Struthio camelus: one gene and its partner. The protein of the gene in region 1 purifies or fractionates together with the protein of each later gene. This does not show direct contact. Links are inferred from orthologs where the notes say so. Each region holds a gene or a part of one and is shown on either strand. Other genes may lie near its edges.

Region 1 (7,074 bases):
AAACGGGAGCTGGGCCAAAAGGCGCACAGCCACATTACTCTTCCAACTCCACAACAATAGGCATAGGACAGAAGAGTAGGCTAGACAAGTAGAACTTTTCCCAGTGAAGATCTGAGACAGGCAGTCAGATGATTCTTCCGGCTTCCCAGAAGATTTGGGGTAGTTTTACTGAAGACGACACACACAGGTTCTCACCTTCATATTACCAAGAATCTTTGCCTGCTCTCCTTCACCAAAACAGGACACTTGGATCAATGCTTTTGCTCCTCCACCAATTAAAATAAATAAGTAAATAAAACTTTAAGAGGGGTAGGAGGGAAGAAAGAGGAACAACTTGAAATTGCAGAAAGAACTTTGTTGACCATTCCATTGGGGGGAAAAAAAAAAAAAAACAAACTTACACATGGAACTGTAATTAGCACTTAAGAGGGGCTTCTTTAAATAACCCATTTAGGCTGGTCTTATCTGAACCTAAATAGCAGCAATTTTAACTACTGGAAGATGAAAAACCGAGATAACTATCTAGTTTTGCACTTTGCACAGTCAATTTTCATTTGTTTTAACCTTTTCTCTATAAGTGTTTTTTCTCCCTGTTTTTTTTAACCAGATTGGATTGATAGCAAACCTAAAGCAGGTGGTAGCTCATTTCTAAAGTGAAAGACAATTTGGATTACTTCAAATGTCTTCAGAACATTCTTTGCAACATTATACTTACCAATGACAAGATGACTTTAAATACTTACCAGTCTTTAATTTTAAAGAGTCAGCTGTTTCATCCTTTTTTACTGTCTCTCATATAGGAAAAATTACGAGTGTATAATCCAACCAACTACCATTGAACATCAGACGTTAAAAGGACGTTCCGTGTGTTTCAGGATGCAAGCTTAGGTTTTAAGAAAAGGTCTTACAAGAACCCAGTTAAGCTTGTTTTAGAAGATTTAGCTAGAACAGCTTTGCATTTAAACAGCATAAACCTTGTAGTACTGCACCTCTAAGTTAGAGGCTAATACAGGGTTCTTTTCACTATCTGACACAGAGCACAATGTACAAGCAAGTTTCTTTACTTTCTGAGGTAGGATCTAGTAAACCTATGATGCTAGAAAACAGATTTGAGGAAGAGTGCAATTTAAGAAGATAAGCACAGCATTTTACAAATAGTATGGCTCCTCACTCAAAGCAAGGTTAGCAGCAAAATCGACAGCTAACCAGCGGTGCTGGTAAGTACTGGTTCTAGTTATTTCATTAAAAAGGATTTTTAGAAAACATGCCAGAACTGAAAGTTATCATTCCACAGTTTCAGGATTCGTATAAATAACAGTCTTACCAACTGCAGCCGTGGACTCTATTGGTAGAGTCAGTATTGTTTGTCTGCAGCTGGACAGAGAAAGTAGGCAGGCATATAATGAAACAAATGATTATTCATTCAGAAATTAAGACACAGATAATACTATAGAAGAAGAGGCTCTGTAAAACTGCCCTAACGCTATCTTCAAGATATTCAGTGGTGTCTAGCAAGCCATGCAGAAATATATATACACACATCTCCTAAAGGGTTTCATTTGATCTTCCTCACCTCTCAGAACTCGTCTCAAAACGACTGAATCCTTGCTGGAGGCAATAATCGACCAGAAAATTCAAAAAAAAAAAACCCTCAAACTGATCTGTCAGAGGAAATGACTAAGAAAGAACTACTCTAAGTCTAAAAAAAAAAACCTATCCAGCTCCCAACCCCCCAAGCCTTAGCAAATACCTTTGATTCCTAGGCATAAGCAAGTATAAAAATCTCATAAGATATCAGAGTTTTTGCACAAAAAAAGCAGCATTTTACTGAGCATACGGGACCGGCTCTAGGATTTACACCACCTTTCACTAGAAAGGAACCCATAAGCAGCACTGAACGCAGCACTCAAAGCATTCTGTTAGAAGCCATTGCTTAATATTTACTCTAGATCTTTTAATTTTTATATCTGCATCCAAAAGCTCACCACACATAAAGACCTGCGAAATTCCTGTGGTAGGAAAGAAGCCACATAAAAGCATTAAAGTCAGAGAAAGAAGCAAACGGCACATCGTAACGTTTTTAGGACAAGATTAAAAGGAGGAGGAACAAAAAATAAAAAAAAAAAAAAAAAGAAAAGCAGGGGAAAAGAGTCAAGAGAGGCCGGTTTCCGAAGCCAGCAGCTGCTGAAGGGCCGGGGGACTCGCAGAGAGGGGGCTCGTCCCGCGGCCCGGAGGGGCAGGAGGCGGAGCGAAACGGGCGGCCGGGCGCGGCGGGAGCAGGGGGCGGCGGCGCCGTCACGGCCTCGGGGAACCCCGGCGGCGGCAGCGCCACGAAACGCGCCTCCGGCGAAACCCGCGTCAACCGCCGCCCCCACCGGGCACCCAGCCTCCGCGGCGGCCTGGACCGAGCTGCAGCGGCCCGGCGCCACCCTCCCCCCGCCGGGCCGGGCCGCCTCAGCGCCGCGGGGAAGGGGGGGGGGGGAGGCCGCCGGGCCTAACAAAGCGGCGGGAGCCGCGGGGAGCCCCCTCGGCGGGAGGCCGGGGCCGCACTCACTTCCTCTGGGCCTTGTCCTTCTTGGCTTTGGTCCGCTTCTTCCGGGCCTGCAGCGCCAGCACTGCGGGGAGACAAGAGAGGCGTGAGGGGTGCGGGGGAGGGGGATGGGGAGGGGGGAGCGGCGCGGCGGCGGGGGGGGGGGGGGGAAGGGGGCGCGGCGCTCACCTTTCCGCTCCATGGCCGCTAGCGCCGGTGGCCCCGGGTGCCCCGCGCGCCTGCGCGCTGGGCCCGTCCCCTGCGCCGCGCCAGGCCGCGCCGGGCGGAGCATGCGCGGCTTGAGCACCTTCGCGCGCCGCGGCGCGCGCCACCACGCGGCCTCGCCCTCGTCGTCGTTGTTATGGCGGCGGCGGCCGCCGCCCCCGCCCCCGCCGCTGCTGCTGCTGCTACTGCTGCTGCTACTGCTGGCGGCGCCGCTGCTCGAGCTGCTGCTGGGGGAGAGGCTGGAGCCGGGGCCGCCCGGGGAGGCCCCGCCCCCCCGCTCCTGGCCCCGCCCCCGCCCGCCCGCCGCGGGCCCTGGCGCCGCCTCCGGCAGGGACATGGTGCCGAGCGCGCACGCGCGGCGCCGGGGAGCGCGGCCGGGGCGCGCACGGCTTGTGACGTCGACGCTTGCGTGTGTGGCGTCAGCGCCGCGGGCGCGCGCGTGACGTCAGGCGGAGGGGTGGGGGGGGGCGCGCCGGGGTCGGCACGGAGCCTCCGCCGTCCCGCGGCGCGCCCGCAGGAGTGACGCGGGCGAGCCCCAACCGCCCCCGCGCGTGGCGCCATCGTGGCGAACGCTCCCGCGGCGTGTCAGCTCTGCTCGCCACGGCGGCCGGGGACCTTGGTCACCTGCTGGCCCGTGAAGCGCGCGCAGGCGTTGGCGTCGCCGGATGGTGGCGGCGACCTGCTGGCCAGAACGTACCCGGCTTCGTCGCGTTTGGCGTTGAGGAGCTCGGTGGGCGCTGTGCCGCCTGTAACGGCTCGAAACGCCCGTCGGGGCTTAGATGCCCACGGTTCCGTAACGTAGGTCACGCGAAGCGTTTGACTTGTAGGCTGCTGGGTTACCTGAGCATCTCGCTGTAAGTACTTGAAACTGAAGGCTACAAATTCCTGGGAAGCGGTACCCGCCTGCCGGGCCGTCCCCCCTCCGCGGCTGTGCTCAACGCCCGTTTAGCCCGAACGGCGGCCGGTGCCGCCAGCAGAGGGAGCCGCCGGCGGCGGCAGCAGCGGCCCTTGGGCATCGGGCTCCGCGCGGGGCGGCGGCTACGGGTGCGCGGGCGCGCAGTCTCGGGAGGCGCAAGGAAGAGCCCTCTTCCTAACTTCCTAGTTGCTGCCGTATTGCTCACGGCAAGCTCTGGGAATGAAATACGTCTACCTGTTCTCCTGCAAAGGGTTTTAAGTGAGGAACTAGAACGCTGGAGTGCCTGGTATTCATGCAACGCAGCGGGAAAAGGGCAGCCCCCCCACGCCCTTGGGTAAAGGGGGAACGTGGACCTTCTTTACGCAACTGCTGCATTCAAACTAAGGTTGAGCTTTAAGCATGATGGAGCCTCTCCTTTGCTAGTAACCTACCGTACAGCAACCCTGTAGGAAAACTTCCACCTCACAGAAGTCACAATATAAGCAGTCCGCAGGGAGAGAAGCTATTACAATCTCAGTTTACAGGCGGCACGTTCCTGTGCCTTAAGTGGGATCTGTCGTCCTGTGTTTGTAATAAATGACTCGCGCGGTTGGCTCTGACAAGGTGTGTTCACACCTACCGTGACTACTGCTCCATTTCATACTTCCTGTGGCCTAGGCCAGGCTTCTGCAACCTGCGGCGAGGACACCAAAGGTGGCACGTGGCCAGATTTGGAAAGCAACAGAGCAAAGCAAGCACAGAGACGGGGATCACAGGCCCTCGGGTGGTAGCTCCCGAGGACCCCCTGCCTGCACTGTGGTCTGAACGGGGAGCCTCGTGCAGAGGTCTCACGCAGAAGCAAGGTATTACTGATCAGTGGTAGGAGCGTCTTTCGCTGCTGCTGAGTTTCTTCCAGGACTCTTCCAACCTGGGATAGAAAAATAGAATCTGAAGTAGCACCCTCGAAGGGTTGCTGACCCCAAGCCAAGACAGCCTTGTCTTTCCACACAACAGCCTGGCACTATTTAATAAATGTCCCCTAACTATGCCCATACATAACCGGTTTATCTCGTCTTTCTTCATAACTCCCTGTGCAGTGTGACACACCACAGTGCGTTGCCCCAAGAACTGCTTCTGCCACTCTGTGCATGACTCCAGAGGTTCCTCTACTGCTTTATGTCTTTTGTAGCCATTACAAACTGATGTAAAATGTTAACAGAATGACAATGGGGGTTTGGGGGGTTACACACGCTTTGTGCTCTGCAATGATAAAAGGCATGATGATGTTTCTAATGCAGTGCTATGGCAGAGCTGCCTGGGTTTCTGCAGCGTGCCCTGCTACAAAAACATGGCATCGCACTAGCTGCGAAGGGCATCAAACAACTGTAGTTGTTGCAACTAGTTGTTGCAAGGTGAGAACGTCAAGCTGCCTACAAACACAAGATTACAGACAGGCCTTTGAACTCTGACTTCTACTTCTGTGGCTTTTTAGAGGTATAGGTGGAGTCCTTGGCCATAAAGTACGTGCTTTGTCACTTCACGGCCTGTGTCCAGGGACTGGTGCTTGGCTAGACACAGAAGCCTTGTCTATGTATGCAGGAGCAGAGTTAAGTCACTGCACAGCTATAAGGGAAAAAGATCAGAATTGTCTGGACTTCCTCTCAGCAAGATATTTGTTTTGCAACATGAATACCCATAATTTGAAAGCTCACATACTGACGTCAGAGTTGTCCCCTGCTGCTCAACTGTGCACAGTCATGGGGGTGGGAAGGAAAGATTCAGATCTGTGCTGAGCAAGCCAACAAAAAAATCTCTAAAGTTTGCAATGGAGACTTGCCATGCTGCCAGGAGTTAGGAAAGCCATTTCATCCTAAATCAAGGCTGCCATAGGAGAGCCAACAGAATCTGGAAATTAGGGTTATGCTTTTCATGGTTTTCATATTACTCTGTTTTGAACAGAGCTGAGAGGAGTTTGGCTTGAAGCCACTGTCCAAAACAATGCAGGGAAGCATATGTGGTTTGAGAATTACTCAATACTATTTAAGCTTTCAGTTTTTCCTGTCTTTCAATCCAAAAGGTATGAAGGCTCCAGGACTCCGTTTCCTCCACAGTAAGCAACTCTACCCAGAATGTTCACTAAAATCATTTACCATTGCAGTTTACATATGCAGTACTATGTCTTTCCTCCAGAAACTGCTTGGAAACAATAAGAATTTAAAGGAAAAAAGAGAAACAGATGAGAAGGACTCACTGGAATACATTACAGATAGTTTAATATTAATATTCCTATTATCATTGCTAAAACTTAACAGCCAGAAGCAGCAGAATCCAGAGAAGCCACCTTGAGAAACCACACAACGCCCAGCAGCAAAACTTAGAGCTGTTCACAGCTGAAGGAATTTAGCCCAGAGCATAGTATCTGCTCATAAAGGATGCATCACTTACTTAAATCAAATCTTTGCCCTAAAGTAGGGTCTGAATGGTATATAGACACCTACCCCTACCTACTGGCTACCCATCCAAAATTAGTTTCACCTACAACTCTTCACACTAGGCAATTTGAGCCATGGGATAATCGTCCAGATGAGGGCATGGTAAAGACTTGTGAGGTATATTGCTCATATAGTTAAAAGCTGCTGCTTTCAGTGCAATCCTAGTTCACGCATCTGTATTTGTATTACTGCTTCAAACTATGGCTGATCTAAAGAAAAAATCGTTAAGTTGATTTTTTTTTCCCCCAAGCACTAAGTGCATCTTATTCTAATTTTCCTGGCTCTTCAGAACAAAGTGAATGCACTCCTCCATTCTTCGCTATTTCAGTAAAGGACTACCAAAACCTGAAAAAAAAAATTTGTTTACTAGGATTTAGTTATAGTTGAACAGAAAGGGAACAAGTTAAAAATACTTAAAGGACAGATGTCATGTTATGATGGTGCAGACAATATCAATTTCAAAGTGTGGAATATTAATAATAAAATGCTTTTCTGTAAAGCTTCACATAATTCTACATACATCTGAAGATAATGAAACTGCCTGCATGTAACCTGTTGAAATGCAGCAGATTAGATTCATTAACTAGCAAGCAATAAATATATAAAAAGTGCTAAGCTAGAGCATTTAAACAAACATCTACAGACTTTCAGAAAAGGAGTGCAAGTCATTTGATAATTCCAAGCTTTATAGCTAATTCTGTCTTGTGCTTTGACATTTTTCTGCTTTCTTCATTGCTGGGTAGCATATGTATTTGGAAGCGCTTCAAAGTAATAATATAAATGTTGCTTTTTGTTCAGAACAACAGAATTACTGTAGGCATTAGCCAAGCTGTCTATTTTAAGAACTCTGAAAAAGACAAAACTAAAAAGAAAAAAAGGATCAAATGCTGGGGAGAACCACCTGAACTGTTGCTTAACTGTACCTTTCTCCT
Region 2 (7,179 bases), on another chromosome or scaffold:
ATGAAGAAAGACTGGAGGTTACACTGTTAGCTCCCCTGTAAGTAAAACACGGTCAAGAGCACTACAAGTATCTTCCATATCTTGAAAGTACACACACAAATCATCTGAAGTAAGAACACTGTGCACAGGTCACATGATCAAAAAAGTAGGAGGGAAAGCTTAATTCATAAGAAGAACCCAAAACGTCTGTAGCAGAACGAAAAAAAAAGGATTATAGGTCAGGGTCAGCTTCACTCTTAGTAGGCTTCTTTGACTATAAACGACATGGATTTGTTGCCCTTTCTCTCTTGATGTATCAGACAGAGGAAAAGTGCAAAGATCATGATCAACACTATTTTAGACAGCTCTGAATTGACCTCAGAGTATTTTGCTGTCAAGTACTCTAAACAGGTTTTAAATATCATCTCAGTGCTGAAAAGCAATCAATCAGCACCTACAGAATAAAAATCGATCCTTACTATCAATATGCTATCTCTTTAAGCGCACAAAACGGCTCCCAAAGTTTCTTATTTATCCAACAAAAAAAGTAAGATATTGACTATTGATAGAATGACACAGCTACTTACGTACTAATTACATCATCCTTTGATTGCTGTGAATCACCATTCCATACTGAAGTAGTCAAGAGTCATTTTAAAATGGGAAGAGAAAGACAATAAAGGTCACTCTGTGCCTTGTTACCTTCTTCAGAAGTTGGGGTAAAATATTGGTCCTCATGATATTAATGAGAAAATCTTGTTCAACTTCACACATTCAGCATGTCACCACAGATGATGCTATTGCAACCTCAAAGCAGATTTTTCAGACTGAGGACAGAAAGGCTGTTCTAAACCTACAGCTCTTCAGATCAAAAGGATCAGCACTTAGGAGTACTGTCCTGTTATCCAGAGAAATAACCTGGCCTAATAACACGACATACTACTAAACAACTAAAAGTAAATTCGCAAGTCTCAGGTTTTCTTGATATGCAACATAAATATTTGACCACACTCATAAAGCACACACATAACTTCCTCCCCACAAAAAAACCAAAGTGTTCAGCAAAAGTGAAAGGATGGAAGACACAACTTGGGGCTGCTTTACACCTGCTGTATGAAAAGTTAAACGAATACGGACTGTAAATCAAAGGTAGCAAGAAGTGGACTTCAGGTATTCTGATGCAGTACACAGGACTTTACCTAAAAAGAGCTTCTTTGTCAAATACGGTGTCTGCTGGCATATTTACGGGAATAAGGAGGTCTGGATGGGAGTCAAGATGAACAAAGCTGATGTTACTGGCAGGAAGGTGCTTTGAACCAATGGCGCGATAGATGAAAGGCAGAACCTAAAACAATACGAACAAAAATATTTCAGTTATAACCAGCAAGCTGAAAAACGCAATGACGTTAATAGCAAAAATACCAGCCCCTCTCCTCTTTGCTTCTTTTGAATTTGGATTATTTCTTGGGAGAAGGAGAAGGAGACTGAAAACAAAGGGATACCACTCCAACAGCAAGACAGCCGAAGAACCGTGAATCACTATGAACCCAAGAGTTTCATACATGGCCAGTTGCTGCAGAATCATAGCTTTACTCTTTCTTTTCTTCCTTATAGGAAGTCTTGTTTGTAGTAGCTCTTCTGATTAATAATTTAATACACTGCCTAGTTTTTTTCTTTTCAACTGATCCCCAGAAATGCCGTCTCTCTTCCGCTGAAGATTACCCCCTACACTTCCTTTTCCATGCTATAAAGCTTAGCCACAACCTATGCATGGGGCTGCGGAGATACAAACTTCTGAAGCCCCACTAACAAAATGTTAACTGATACAGGGTGAAAACTGACCCGGCTACCATTTAAGCTTTAGCTGATCTTTAAACCTATTCCTCTGGAGAAAAAGTTTAATTCCCAATCCCTGCAGGACTTAGCGGCTGCAATGAAAAGACTACCTTCCCCAGCTGCCCACTTAAAAGTGAGAAAAGCAGATGGGTAGATGTGTCAATTTACGGCATAACAAAGCACTGATGTGCAATACTGTCAAGTGGGATGAGACAACTGAAGGCTAATTCACGATCCTTCTTACACTGAGCTGCAGTAGACGGAGCTTCTCCCACAGTTACAGGCCGGTAACTGCCTTAGCTGCCAGAACAAATCTAGCAAGAATTGTGAACCAGATCGCTACTATACAGGGAGCATGAAAACTATAAAAAGACTGGGCAATATAAGCTACACGGGATCTCTGTATTTAAATGCAAACTGAGCTACTTTTTAAGCATAAAACTGATTAAGATCACAAATCCTGAATAGTGAGTGTACATAACCATAAAATCTGACACTTAGTTGAAATTTGGATTGTATTTCACCAGACCGGCTATAAATTCTCAGTTTTCCCACTACTTATGCAATGATATATATCCTACTGTAATAATAGATAAAAATAAGGTTGAAAATAACAGTGATTCTCTGATCTATGATTTCCAGTTCTTCACAAAAGGCAAATGGCCTACCTGTACAACCTACAATGTTGACAGGTGAAATTAGTTTAATCTCATGGAAGTGTTAGCGCAAATTCTGAAAACAGAGCAGGATGAGGGAGGAGACAAAAGCCTAGAGTCCCTTACATTGCAAGTTCTGCTGCTTTGGGTTGAGAACAAAATTCCCTTCCCGCTAGCTGTTATTATTAATCAAAGCATGGTGCCTCTAGTGTCATCTACCCCCAGAGAAACTTCAACGTCAGTAATTCATCTGGACTATACATAGTTTCTGGGAAGTTCTTACGCTTTGAGGTAAAAGCCTATACACGTTTTATATAAGACAGATCAATGTATATACATACATATATTGAAAGTACAGCATATATATTTGGTAGGAAGAGTCTTTGTTAACCTAATTCAAAAGAGAAGTACTGAAAGCAAAATAAAGAAGAATTATTAACAGACATTATCTCAGTACTTCTATTACAGTGACACTCTTAGTCCGTGGTTACTGCAGAAAACCAGCCACCACAGCATCAACCATTTCAGCGAGTCTTGGCAAAAATAATCCTCATTAAATTATCTACTTTCAAGTTCAGAATAACGTTTCCCTTAATAAACTGTATCACGCTAGTGCTTTTGCAAAACAGCAATAGAGTTAATGCTTTTCATTTTTTTCTCCACCAGTTCTTTATGCCCCAGAAATGCTTGCTGAAATTAGTGGGCTTTTGTGCCTTTGGGTAAAGAATTTGCTTACTTTGGATTACAGCCTCAACTTGTGCTATAATAAAGAAACTCTCTGAGAAACCAGAAACAGCACTTCAAAAGCAATCCTTTGCAAAGGATTGCCTTTTTAAACTAGCTATCATTAAAAACAAGCAAACAAATAATATAAAGCACCAAATTTGACATCTCTCAGCTACTGACAGTCAATGTGCTGGTTAGAGTGTGCCTCATACGTTGCGTAGGCCTGAGTTTCTAAGCAGTACGCTAGGACCTAGCTAATTCCAGAAGCAGTAAAACGTGGGTGTTATTTTCTTTTAAACACAGAAACCATGGGGGAAAAAAAAAAAAAAAGAGAAAGAGAGTGAAATAACTACTTAAAACCCCACCAGCCTGCCCTAATGGCACCAGCTACATGCATCACTGGATCACGACGGGGCTCCACATCATCTGGACACTGAACTTCACTCGTGTGCCACTAGCCAGACCGGCCCGAGGAGGCTGGTTTTCGCGCCCCCAGGGCAGCGGGCACGGCTGGAAGAAGAAACCGAGAAAGACAGAAAAGGGTTTGTTTTTTTTTTTAACCCCCCCAAATACCCACGGCCCAGAGAAAGGCCGCGACCCGCCTCTCCCCTGCCGCTACTACCCGAGGGGCGGCCGGGCCGGGCCGGGCCGGGACCCCGGCGGGGGGGATGGTGGTGGGGCCCCGGGAGGCGGCTGCACCCGCTGAAGTGACGGGCCTGGGGCTGGGCCGGGCGCGCCGCGCACTCACTCACATCCTGGTGGTCCTCCACCACCCACACCGGCAGCACCGGGTAGGCCCTCCGGCCGGCCCCGGCGGGGCGCTCCCCGGGCGGGCGGCCCCCACCGCTCATGTCACGGCGGCCCGGCTCCCTCCGGGTGGCGGCGGCGGCTTCCGCCCGCGGCGCCCCGCCCCGCGCCTTCCTCTTCCGGAGCCGGCGCGGGCGGCGGCGGCGGCGGCGGCGGGGCAGCAGGTGGGCTGCGCGGGTGCGTGCCCCTCCCGGGCCGGGGCGAAGCAGCGCATCGACCGCCGCCGTGGCGACGTGGCCCCGCGGGCCGTTGTGATGGCGCAGCCCCGCTGGCCGAGGGGCGGCCGGGGCGCCGCGCGGGGCTCGGCGGCGGCTGGCGGTCGTTGCCGCTGCGGTGATCGCCGGCCGTGCGTAAACCTGCCCTTCCCGCGCGGGCGAAACTGGCGCCGTTTGAGGGCAGGCGGCGGGCGGTGCCGGCCCGGGCCGCCCTGAGGGCAGGGCCCCGTCGCGCCGGCCCTGCGCCGGGGCGGGTGTCCGCGCGTGTCCGTGTCCGTGTGGCGCAACGGGTTTCTCTTTGTGGGTGGAAGGAAGGGCATGACTCGTCATCGGTTTTTTCCCACTGAAGTTCAAAGCGAACCTGAACGCGGTGAAAAATTGCAGCAGCGGGAGCTTTAAAATAACCTGAAATAATTTTTTTTTTTTTTTTTTTGCCTTCCCTGCTGCCTTTGGCTCTGCGTTTCGGTGCGTTCTGAAGTGCTTGAACTGTGATCGCAGAAACCAGAGGAAACCTCTGAAGGTGCAGATAAGCTCGGAGAGAGCTGGTAAAGGAGACCTTTTGTTTGAATGCACTGGCACGTGTTAAGAAGAAACGTGCCTTACGTTAAGGCACCAGTACAGTACAGTACAGTGGGTTTCCCTTTACTTCATTCAAGGGGATAAAAGATTGGCTCAGCCTGTTTAAATAAAATTTGTATGTAAATGTCAGCAAAGCACAAAACAGTGTACTGGCAGAAGCCTGCGCTAGGTGAGTTATAACTGCTGACCTGAGGAAAAATGGTCCAGCGTTTAATGGACTAGAATTAAGGATGACAGAAAGTAGCGCTGCTGCCAGACAAACTCGTGAAGGTGTGGAGTAGATTTTTTTTTCCCTGTCATTTCTTTTTGAGACCCTTTAAAAGACCTGAGGGTACTGAACAGACCGGGGTTGCCTGGAAGGAATCAGTCAGTGGCTTTACATGTCTGCTACCTCCTAGAAACGTGTTGATCCGCCCTTATCCTGCTGGCCTTTGTTGTCCACTTGCTCAAACGAGGGAGGAAATGCCCCACCACCACTTCCAGTGGCTTCAACCAAGCCCTGAGCATGGGACGGGAGACTTGGGGTCCTCCTGGTACCTCTTCCTCAATGTGCATCCTTTCCCCCTGTTTCATTTCTTTTCCGTTTTTTCCCTTCGGTTCACTAGCAGAAGTCTGGCATCAGTCAGCAAGCTTCATCCTTTGCAGCGCTGGGACCAGAATGCAGCCAAAAGTAGTACTCTGAGCAGCCCACGTTTGCCGGGTTACAGGGTAGCAGGTGGGAGACTATTCCCTATGTGTACTTCTGCATCGGTAAAGCCACTGTAAAAAGGAGGCTTTGTTTTCTGTGTCTGGTGATCTTTCCGCATACGTGTTTATGTGTCTCTCTCTTATAGAGAACAGGATTTGACATTTGCAGCTGCAGGATCAACTGTTTTTTTCCCCCTCTCTCCCTCCCTTCCACCCAACATATCATTGTTGATGTTTTATTTTAAATATTTTTTCCTTTTTCCCAGTTTTTGAATTTTGAACATTTTAATGAAAAACTAATTTTAACTTCAATATGCCACAGCAGTTTTCATTTTTAAACTTTAATACCGTAGTACATTACATACAACACATGCTTTTGAGCAAGACTTCAGCCCGCTTAGAGCAGTGCCTATTGCCAGCAAGGTAACACGGCCAATTAGGTACTTCAGGAATTTTGAAAATGTTTGTTTATTGAAATTGGAACAAACCACAGTCCACGTACGTTTTTGTGGGTCACAGTAAATTTTTATGTACCTAACTTTAAAATATCTGTTGAATTCAGTCCTGTACGAAATTGGGACTTAACTGTGAATATAAATTCCCATTATCTTGTTTAAGATTTATGTGATTTTTTTTCACTGGACCAGGCAACTCACGATGGCATGTTAGTAAAGTTGTTCTACCTGAAGTTTAGAATAGTGTTCTAGGAAGAACTCCTTGATGTAAGACCTTGGATGACTCCTACCTTTGTTAAAATGAGCGATCTCTTTGGTGTGGGTGTCTGAAGACTTTATATTAAAGCATCCATGACCATGAGGGTATGGTCCCACCTGGATTCTGGATTAGAGGCAGGAGAGTGCATTAGTGGATTAGAGACTTAGGGGAATCTTGGGGGAATAATGACCTGTACTACAGCACTGAGGAGCACAAAGCTCACAATGAAAGCCAGTGGTCGTCATCTGCTGCTCCTATTAAAAGAAACTGCAGAAATCATAATTTAAGCACTTTGTGCATTTCCTGGAACTACTTCCAAAGAACCTCATAGAAAAACTTTGTGACACTGTACATTTATTTATTTTCTTCTTTAAAGGTGAGCCATGTCTTTCCATTCCGGACGAGGGTGTCCCCGCGGCCAGGGGGGACCAGGAGCACGAACTTCAACACAGACCTACCGACCTCAGAACCTACGGCAGCTTCACCCACAGCAGCCCTCTGTGCAATACCAGTATGACCAGCAAACGGCCCCTCCGACAACCTATTCAAACCCTCCAGCCACTGGTTACATGCCTCCCAGGCCAGACTTTGTGCCGTATCCTCCTCCAGTGCCCCCTTCCACACAGAGTCCCATCAGCCAGTGTCCCATGAGGCCACCTTTTCCAAACCATCAGATGAGGCAGGGTTTCCCAGTGCCTCCGTGCTTCCCTCCCGCTCCTCCACCAGTGCCAAATCCTAGCAATACTCCTGTGCCAGGAACTCCGACGGGGCAAAACACATTTCCTTACATGATGCCGCCCCCGACAGTACCGCATCCTCCCCCACCCCCAGTCATACCGCAGCAAGTCAACTACCAGCCTGTTTACTCCGCAGGGTATTCACAGCAGTCATTCCCCCCTCCGAACTTCAATAGCTATCAGCACAATTCCAGCTCTTTCCAGAGCAGCGCTACCAACAGCAGTGGCGGCAACAGCCATTTT

Evidence for each region. Proteins that work in one complex are often made in the same cells at the same time.
Region 2: the proteins of SRPK1 (region 1) and DROSHA purify together in Homo sapiens (affinity purification with mass spectrometry; 3 studies listed by BioGRID and IntAct, counting the BioPlex papers as one, with this or other methods). This does not show direct contact. The link is inferred for Struthio camelus from reciprocal best matches to the Homo sapiens genes SRPK1 and DROSHA.

The regions. Positions count from the first base shown.
Region 1 is NC_090965.1:5,012,444-5,019,517, reverse strand, and holds the start of SRPK1 (SRSF protein kinase 1), read right to left. Parts: upstream 3,016-7,074; 5' UTR 2,823-3,015; coding exon 2,720-2,822; intron 2,616-2,719; coding exon 2,555-2,615; intron 1-2,554. UniProt on the Homo sapiens protein: Serine/arginine-rich protein-specific kinase which specifically phosphorylates its substrates at serine residues located in regions rich in arginine/serine dipeptides, known as RS domains and is involved in the phosphorylation of SR splicing factors and the regulation of splicing.
Region 2 is NC_090943.1:91,265,892-91,273,070, reverse strand, and holds the start of DROSHA (ribonuclease 3), read left to right. Parts: upstream 1-4,112; 5' UTR 4,113-4,168; exon of another isoform or gene 4,169-4,181; intron 4,182-5,401; exon of another isoform or gene 5,402-5,513; intron 5,514-6,575; 5' UTR 6,576-6,582; coding exon 6,583-7,179. Other genes in the region: C2H5orf22 (UPF0489 protein C5orf22 homolog), read right to left, coding at 1,179-1,324, 3,950-4,048. UniProt on the Homo sapiens protein: Ribonuclease III double-stranded (ds) RNA-specific endoribonuclease that is involved in the initial step of microRNA (miRNA) biogenesis.